Linked DNA regions of Schizosaccharomyces pombe. The protein of the gene in region 2 interacts with the protein of the main gene of each other region in a biochemical or structural test. Each region holds a gene or a part of one and is shown on either strand. Other genes may lie near its edges. The genes, in order: pka1 and sro1.

Region 1 (4,666 bases), 3.7 Mb from region 2:
GAGAAAATGTCTGTCGTTCCTTTAAAAAAATATTCCCACGTGTTTGTTTATGATGGAACAGTACATGCTAACCAAAGCGATTTACCGATTTTGCTCCCTCGCATGGTACTAAGGGTATTGAAAGGAAAATTTGAAGCAGACCCTTATGAAGCTTTACGCATTAATACTCGTTCATCTGTACAATTCCTTCGTGAAAATCATGTTGAAAATGTTCAGGGAGATAATGATCCTTCGTCGTTGCAAACAAATATTATTCCTGGGTGGGAAAGAATTATGTAGTATTTACCACTTTTACAAAGAGCTAAAAACTCTTAAAAACAAAACTCTTTTGACTTTTCTTGTCTTTTTATCTATCGCCGATGCTAATTATAATATTTATTGACTGTCATGCTAATGAGTTAACTGTTTGGCACAAATTTCTTATAGCTTATAAAGAAGATTTTCGAAAGCTTACCTGTTAATGTGGATTGAATATGGTAACTATTACTTTTTGGGAGCCTGTGCTTAGGACCGCGATGATTAAGGACGAACATTTACGCTAAGTGTGTGATTTTGAAAAATTTAGACTAATATTTATAATTTGTAATATGTCTTATATACTGATAGATTCTTTTATCATTTTACATTATTATTTATTCAACAAAATAATTTACCAACCAATTACGAATGAAACCACCATTAATTATAGATACAAGGAAATTCAATGATTATTAGCGGATATATGTATCTAGTTGTTGCACAGTTTCAACAAACAATGCTCTTTTGTCTGTTCAACATGAAGAAGAAATGACTTGGGGTTTAACATAACCATAAAAAAACAGAATATATAAATAAAATGGAGTGGAAATACATCAGAGCAGGCTAATTGCCTGGAAAAACATCAAAATAAATAGCTTCAACTGAGATCATCATATCCCATCCAAACATAAAGTCGGTCCATTACACCAGCACAAAAAACTGAAGCCAATATTGGTGAATTGCAAAATCAGTGCTACAAACGTCACTTGCATTGCACTAAATCAAATAGGCATTCGTTGCTCAACGCTTTAAGGCAATAGTACAATGAATCAATAAGCATTCGAGTATCTTAAAACAAAACAAACGTGGCACAAAACATCAAAAGTCCTTAAAGATAGAAGTAAATTCAGGATCTTCAGATGTTCCATAATCCGTAGCTACATCAGCATAAGCGTCAAATTGACTGGAATCACCCATTCCAGCTTGAATGGGAGGAACATACGGAACCTCAATTTTCCGAGTAAGGATCTTGTCCCAGCTGATATCACGGAACCAAGGGTGCATAATAATATCCATGCTACCATCTTTCAAATTTCCATAGCGGCAGGTTATGTCTCGCTGAAGTAAATGGCTCAACAAATCAATACTAGCAGGAGAAAAGTACGATGGATAGTTGACCTTGCCTTCAAGGATATTCTCATACAACTTCATTGGATTCTCAGAGTAAAATGGAGGATAACCCGCAAGCATTTCAAAGATAAGAATACCAAGGGACCACCAATCTGCAGCTTTGTTGTACGGTTTTAAAGATATGATTTCCGGGGCTAAATAATCGGGGGTACCACAAAGAGTACAACAGTTGCTAGTAGAGACGCGTTTGGCAAAACCAAAGTCCACAATTTTCAAATGACCAAACCGGTCAAGAAGAAGATTTTCGGGTTTTAAATCTCGATATACGATTTGATTGTGGTGAAGATAATCAAGAGCAAGGATCACTTCTGCTGCATAAAATTTGGCAACTTTTTCGGGAAATCGATGACATTTACGAAGCAAAGAAAAAAGCTCTCCTCCTTCAGCAAAATCCATGACCATAAACAGATTTTTGGCATCTTGGAAAGTACCCCATAGAATGGTAATGAACGGGTGTTGGACACGGGATAAAATGTATCTCTCATCGCAAGTGTGCTCTATTTGCTTCATATCAACGATTTTTTTCTTTTCTAAAACCTTGATGGCGTAATACAGGCGATTGTGATTCGACTGAACGAGATGAACTCGACCAAACGAGCCAGTGCCCAATGTTTGTAAGAAATTGAAATCTTGTATTCCATATCGATCTTTTGTGGTGTGGTCAGCAGGACGAATCCTTCGACGCTGTAAATCGAGCAGCTGACTAACCCGAACTTTACGAATATGGCGATCGCGTAGCCCATCCATAGCTGACCGTCTCTCTCCGTGTTCTGAACCTAGTTCACCACGACCGTCCCGCGAATGTCTTTGATGGCTGCTTTGGCTACTACTTCTACTCGCGCTTTCAGGAAGAGGTGAAGGGATCAAATTATCGATGTTTTGGTAACCAACAGAATGGGCACTTGCACAGCCAGACGTACTGGTGCTAACCAAGCTGTCGGGTTTTTTGCTTTTCGTGGCCTCTTCCAAAGCTTTAGGGATGCCCGAAGTCCACAGACTTGATTCATTATGGTTATTATGACCATTGCTTACACTTGCATCACTACCAACAGAATCATGAACAGAGGGTTTGCCATTAAAAGAATTTGTTCCATGTCGCTGCTGTTCCGAATATTCATTAACGCTGCCGGCATTCATAGATGGATGCAAAGAGGCACTTGTAGATAGAGTGTCAGTTGAAGAACCCACGTTAGTACTTCCTTTGGAAGCAACGGCAGTCGTATCCATGAGTACAAATGTGAAATAGCGTTTATACACGAAAAGATAATTAAAATTCACTAATCGTTCGTCAAACTTATAAAGTACCCGAAAACAAGAATAAGGTTAAAAGAGGTCGAGGCAAAAAGGTCGTTACCTTTGAACAACCTTCGAATATATGTATATAAACCGCAACAATAGCAGTAATCTTAGAGTTCTTTTTTGGTGCGCTGCTTATTATAGCGAAGCAAAAATAAATAAAGAATCAGCGTAGATAGAAAGAGCGAAATTTACTTCCTCTAAATAATTTATTAAAATAAAGAGGACAGCGGCAGAAAAGAAACTATTTTAAGTGAAATTCCAGTCGCTCAACACAAGTAAAAACCCAACAAGAATAAAGACAAATAATACTCGTTTGCTCAATCAATCCGGGCAAACGAAATCCTTCAAAGTAAAATTGGAAGCAACTTAATGTCTAACAAACTGTTATTCCAAAAGTACAAATGAACACGAACGATAATTCGATACACCTGAGACAAAAAATAAGAAGATAAGCTAAATCGACTCTGAGTCCTTCAAAGATAATCTATAGCAGACAAAAATAGATAACAATAGTTATAGCAAGCGTTCAAAAATACAAATTAACATAAACCGACGTTACAGATTCACGGTTTTCACAACAATACTGAGCCTTTCACTCTTAGCGCAGAACCAAAGGTGTATTAAGTAAAACTACAAGTCTTTTTGATACAGAAAGCTTTTGTAGAATTAGCGGCTTTCGAGAAACGAGCTATTCACACTTCCTATGCGTTCGCAAGCTTCAATTTGTGTTTTGCTAACGAAAGAAGTGTTGTGTCATAGGATGCAAGGTTGAAGTCATGCCCTTACTACCCCTCAAAAACGAAGGAATTTTTAATGAGGCGAATAATCGTACGTAAATTATAATAGGGGAATTTAATGTAGATCGTTACAAAACTTCAGCATCTCAGTGCATGTCGGATTTAAAGACTTCTATTTAAATTTTAAGATTGAATTCGTCAGGTGGATTTAGATGGTTTAATACAGTGTATTAATTATCGGGTGTAATTCATTAAATTATAATATTTGGAACCGTTACTCGAAAGTCATAGATTCGAACATCAAGAACTTATGTAAACAGCATACAACGATATAGTGTTAGTTAGTAGCTCGAAGTGTCATGCTTAAATCAATTAATTAACGAAAGGAGGGAAAAGATATAGAAAAAGGATAAAAAAGCTAATCTATTTTCAACGGCGCCTTGAGACAGGCGGTATTACCCCTTGAAGAACCATGGGTGCTTAGTAGTTGTCGCAATAATATTCTTTTTACTTTGCCCAGTGAAATAGTTTGAGCATCAGTATTCCAATTAACAATTTATTATTAACTTCGATTTCCTTTTAACAAACCATTATTTGAAGATAGCTATTAATCATGATCGTGAAAAAAGTGTTGCATTGGATATGCCACCTTGTATATTAATTGAGACATTAAGGTATTTATACAAGTCGTTAATTTTAAGGGGTTCTATTTTTTTAAACTTCAATTTTCCTTTTGAAGGATTGATATGATGGAAAAGATTTTTGGAAACCATTCAGCCCATTAGCATATCATATAATTAATAAACGTAGTTCATAATTATACAGATTCTTCATTATGATTATGAGAATACACATACTCCCATACTCTCAAACTCAAATCTTCTACCAAATCACGAGAAAGGAAAAGATATTGACGGGAGTGAAACTTATTCAAGAGCACACCAGTCCAACAAGACTCAAAAAATTGTAACAGTATTTGCAAACTTAATAAACGGTCTCTAGTTAAATTATCAAAGTCCATAGACAGGAGTAATTTAACGCCTAGAGAAGTTTTATTATTTGATTCTTGTAACGATGCAACGTTTAAGGGGCTATTCGAGCTTTGGAACAACCTGCTTGTTTTTACCAAGTTCCAAAGTGGGCTTGAGGTATCTTTAAGCTTAGGGAATAGATTAAGTGGCTCTTCTTTTGAACTTGTTCGG
Region 2 (4,164 bases):
CGATACATATCGGCTGATTATCAAAGCTAAAACGCGTCAATAAATAGAATTCTTTCAAAAGACACGCACATTTCAGTAACAGTCATCCAAAAAGCTGAAATATCAAAGTTGAGACTCGGAGGTTTTAAAAGAAAGTTTTATTAAGGGTTTAAATTATTCTTTAAGCGGCTTGAAATTTGAGAGCACTAGCAATAATGAAGGAAATGGCGGGTAAACAGTAATAGAAGACGCAACTTTGAAGGTTTTGGGCTTTGCCAAGAAATTTTATACTAACAGGAGGAACAACAATCGTACCAATTTTTTAAAAAAATACCTTAAACCAATGGAAATTGGTCACTAACAGCTATTAGTTAAAGCAATTGGGAATTGTCTAAAGAAAGTAGCATGCTTGACAAGAAACTTAGCAGTATTAAGCTTCGTTATGTATCACTATACCCTGCAATTATCATACATAAGTTGTTTCATTCAATAGGCTTTTTGAATGAAAACCATATAAAGAAATTACGACAACCCTTTCGATTGAATTTGTTTCTTCAGTTGAATTGTAGTATATGCTTAATAATGGTTATGTTTACATCTTGGTTAGACCCATCATAAAGCCGCTCGTACTCGTAATTGTTGTTGAATGGATTGTAAAGAAGACTGTACAAAATTCACTGCATTTTTAACGTGTTTTCGAAATAACTAATCAAACTATCAAAAAGATAACGTATCAACACTAAACCGCACTACTTTATAAATTGCACATCGGGTTGCTTCTTAGCTAGACGGAAAGACAATGCTGACCTTGTCTTCATAATTGTTTACAATCTTCCACCATTCATCTACTCATTAATCAGTAGTAATGTATTAAAATAAACAATTTCTATTTTTTAATTATACAAACAATTTCCTATTCTGAATCTAAATGTAACAGTTGTATCGCATTTGGCATTTCTTTTTTGTAATCCAGCAACCGAAAATTCAATCAAATCAATGTGACCATGGCGAATTGGATATAAAATAACAAAGATTAAGGTGGAAACTTCAACTTTATCAGCGACTATCATTATAGTCAACAAGTAGACAAACTAATAATATAAAGACTAACAAGTCTTGGGGGTATAAACTAATAATACATATGTCTTGCCTCATTTAAAAATGGTAAAAGCAAGGAACCGTTCACGGCTTATATCGATAAACATTCTAAAGCAGGGGAACCAATGTGTTGAAACTGGTAATAAAAAGAGGGATGGGGGTGGTAAAAGAATTCCAATAATCGAAATTCCTTAGAAAAATAAAAATAAAATCCATGTCTTAACAATTACATCAAGAAGAGTAAAAAAAAAAGAAAAGCGAAAATAACGAATTAAAAAAGATTGCATTGTTAGATTGTTTAATGCTTTTATCGAATAAGATAAAACATTCAATTTTCCAATTTTTTGTTTTCCCTTTTTATTATTTTCTTCTGATCATAACGGAAATCGGGTTTTCTTCTTGTATACAATATTCGGGTTTAAGCGCTTACTTCCCAATCAAATGCACCCTTTCTTTGCTCAGCTCCCCAATTAGGAGAGTTCAAGTCATCTCTGACAGTTTGAACGTAAAAGGAAAGAGGTTGCTCTTGGTCGTTACAGCTCATAGCCGACTCAGAGTTAATGCCGATATCGGTGGTTTGATCAGCAACATTGGATGCGGTAAAAGACCAACCATTCTTAGTACCGTCAACACGGGAAGCAACACTAGTAGAGAAGGAAAATCTTGAAGCCGTTGCCTTTAAAGAGGTAGCGGCTAAAAGAGACTTGGAGATGACACCTTGTTTAAGAATAGAAAACATAGCGATGAATCAAAAATGTTTATTGATGAAATTAAAAAGAAAAGAAAATAACAGTGATTAAATAGAAATGTGTAGAATAGAAGTATCACCGTTCGCAGATTTAATTATCGAGACGTCAGCGAAGAAAGAAAAAAAAAATTTTCTTAACTAATTAAACCAACGAATAAAAAATTTTTTTTCTGAAGATGACCGTGTTGATCAAACCAATATTCTTTATTGTTCACTAAAAAGAATATCAAAAGAAGTATTTAGTAGTAGCTAAAATGTATTAACTTTTTACTTTAGAATGTCTCGCAATTGACTTTGATTAGACACTGTTTAGGTGGGACGCAACAATTGTTGGATGGCGAGGTCTCTTAGATGGAAGCCCGCATTTATATAGTTTTAGACTATTTATTTGCCTTTTCCTTTGTGACGAATTCAGATAGCTTTCCTTACTGATAAGAATGCGATACCCGTTCCATACGGCGCAACGTTAAAATAGGCGACTAGCAGTGTAAAGTCCGATACCTAGACGAAAGCAATCGTAAGCTAAAGGTGTCGACAGTACCTCAGTTTGGCTGGCTATCTTAGTATTGCTTACAAGCCCATCATACCATATGAAAGTAAGCTTACGTTCGTTTGATTAATAAACAATGTGATGTCAAAAGCTGTAACGGCCGTTCTTGTATGAGAGAGAAGCTAGCAGAACAAAAAAGGGAGACTTCGCACATTGAATTCAAACAGTTGACATCACAAATGAAAAGAGCGACTGTGTTTAATAAGCGTTTCAAATATTCCATTGGGATTTACTAAGGATTAGGATTTAGAAGAAAGGTTTAACAAAGGGTTGAAAGTTTCATGATAGCAAAGTGTGTCGCATGTAAACAAAAGAACATTCATTTGAAATCATAGCTATATCCATTAGCTAGCTAATTAATTAGTAAGTTGGTTAGTAATTTAAATAATTAATTTTCATCATAATGTATAGAAAAACAACGTAAAATTCAGGGAACTATTTCTAAGTCATCCTCATCATCACTCTCAGTAAATTCATATCGGAATTTGATATTTTTTAGGGAGCCGGATCGTGAAAGTCCAGTCGCTGTGGAGTGCGTTGTAGATGCATCTGCGGAATGCGTTGGATCGAAACCTATTTTTCGTAGACTTTGGGGGGAAAAAATCCTCGGCGAAGAGGTAAACACTACCGCTGGGGAAACTTTGGTGGATGTAGTATCTTGTGGAACGGGTGTCCCTGATGCCGCATCGTTAGTGCCGAGAATAGCAGAGTTAGAAAAAGATGGTAGAGAGGATTTAGGGTTCATTATAGATGCATTAAAAGAGGCCAGAACGGATGGTTTTTTCGTCGATGAATCAATTTCGCTATCTTTAGAAAGAGCAGTGGGATTACCCTTGTCATGTAAATTTTTAACGCCGGAACCTTGTAAATTTAGATACTGATGGCCGAGTGTTCGCATCGACATTCCCGTAGAGAGGTTATTCGAGTTAGAGCTAGACGAAGAGGAAGCGCAACATCGCTTCGATAATCGCACCAAAATTTCACGCTCGCGTTCAGCCTGCGCTCGTTGTTTTTTGTATCGTTCCTTGCGCTCCCTCTCGGTCTGAACGGCGTCTTCTGCATCATACAAACCAGCTACTGCGTTAGGAATTGCGGAATACTTTTCCCCAGCAAAGTATCCTTGGAACCCTTGTCCACGAAATCGCTTTTCACGTCGTGCGCGAGGCTCGTGCATAGTCGCCATACTTGAAGCAAACTCCGTTCGCGTAGACATGGACCGCTGGACAGCGAGGTCAACGTGATATTCACATACATCTCCGGCACGCTTGTCGAGCCAATGTTTACATAGTTCACCGCTTTTTCTTCGGCTGGAACAATAGCCAAGGTGTTTGGAGCGACCAATCTCTAAAAGTACATCGTACTCAGAATCCAGCTTCAGAGAAAAGCGTCCAATGTCTGGGTTCTTTGGCTTTAGTACTTCAGGATTGAGAAGCGCAATGACAGTACCACTCTGGATCTTCCAGTATCGTTCAAACGCCTTTCCAAACAGGAAGCACTCCAGTTGCCATTTCAAGTCAGTCAGTGTTAGCATACAATATTTATTCCCATTCACAGTTTCTCTGGTTCCACTATTACTGGCAACAATGCCCATAACTACATAGTTGTCAACTTCTGGCGCTTCAAATTTAGGAGCTCTTACTAGTTTGAGTAGTTGGTGAATGAGATAAACTTGATTTCCCCCTATATTTTCCTTAGCAACCTCATCACTTATGTATCGAATAACAATGGCTTGTCTTGAATAAGGATCGATTTCATCACATTTCATAGGAAATTTCTCCTCTTCACTTTT

Evidence for each region.
Region 1: of the proteins of sro1 (region 2) and pka1, one has a biochemical effect on the other in vitro, tested with the Schizosaccharomyces pombe proteins (one study listed by BioGRID).

The regions. Positions count from the first base shown.
Region 1 is NC_003423.3:394,981-399,646, reverse strand, and holds pka1 (cAMP-dependent protein kinase catalytic subunit Pka1), read right to left. Parts: upstream 2,656-4,666; coding exon 1,117-2,655; 3' UTR 690-1,116; downstream 1-689. Other genes in the region: plg7 (1-alkyl-2-acetylglycerophosphocholine esterase), read left to right, coding at 1-279; cut4 (anaphase-promoting complex platform subcomplex scaffold subunit Apc1), read right to left, coding at 4,282-4,666.
Region 2 is NC_003423.3:4,079,859-4,084,022, reverse strand, and holds sro1 (protein sro1), read right to left. Parts: upstream 2,165-4,164; 5' UTR 1,817-2,164; coding exon 1,496-1,816; coding exon of another isoform or gene 1,379-1,495; 3' UTR 825-1,378; downstream 1-824. Other genes in the region: centractin family actin-like protein Arp1, read right to left, coding at 1-26, 70-86; SPOM_SPBC1347.14C (uncharacterized protein), read left to right, coding at 1,379-1,744; cdc23 (MCM-associated protein Mcm10), read right to left, coding at 2,803-4,164. UniProt on the Schizosaccharomyces pombe protein: Stress-responsive protein that may play a role in regulation of cell cycle.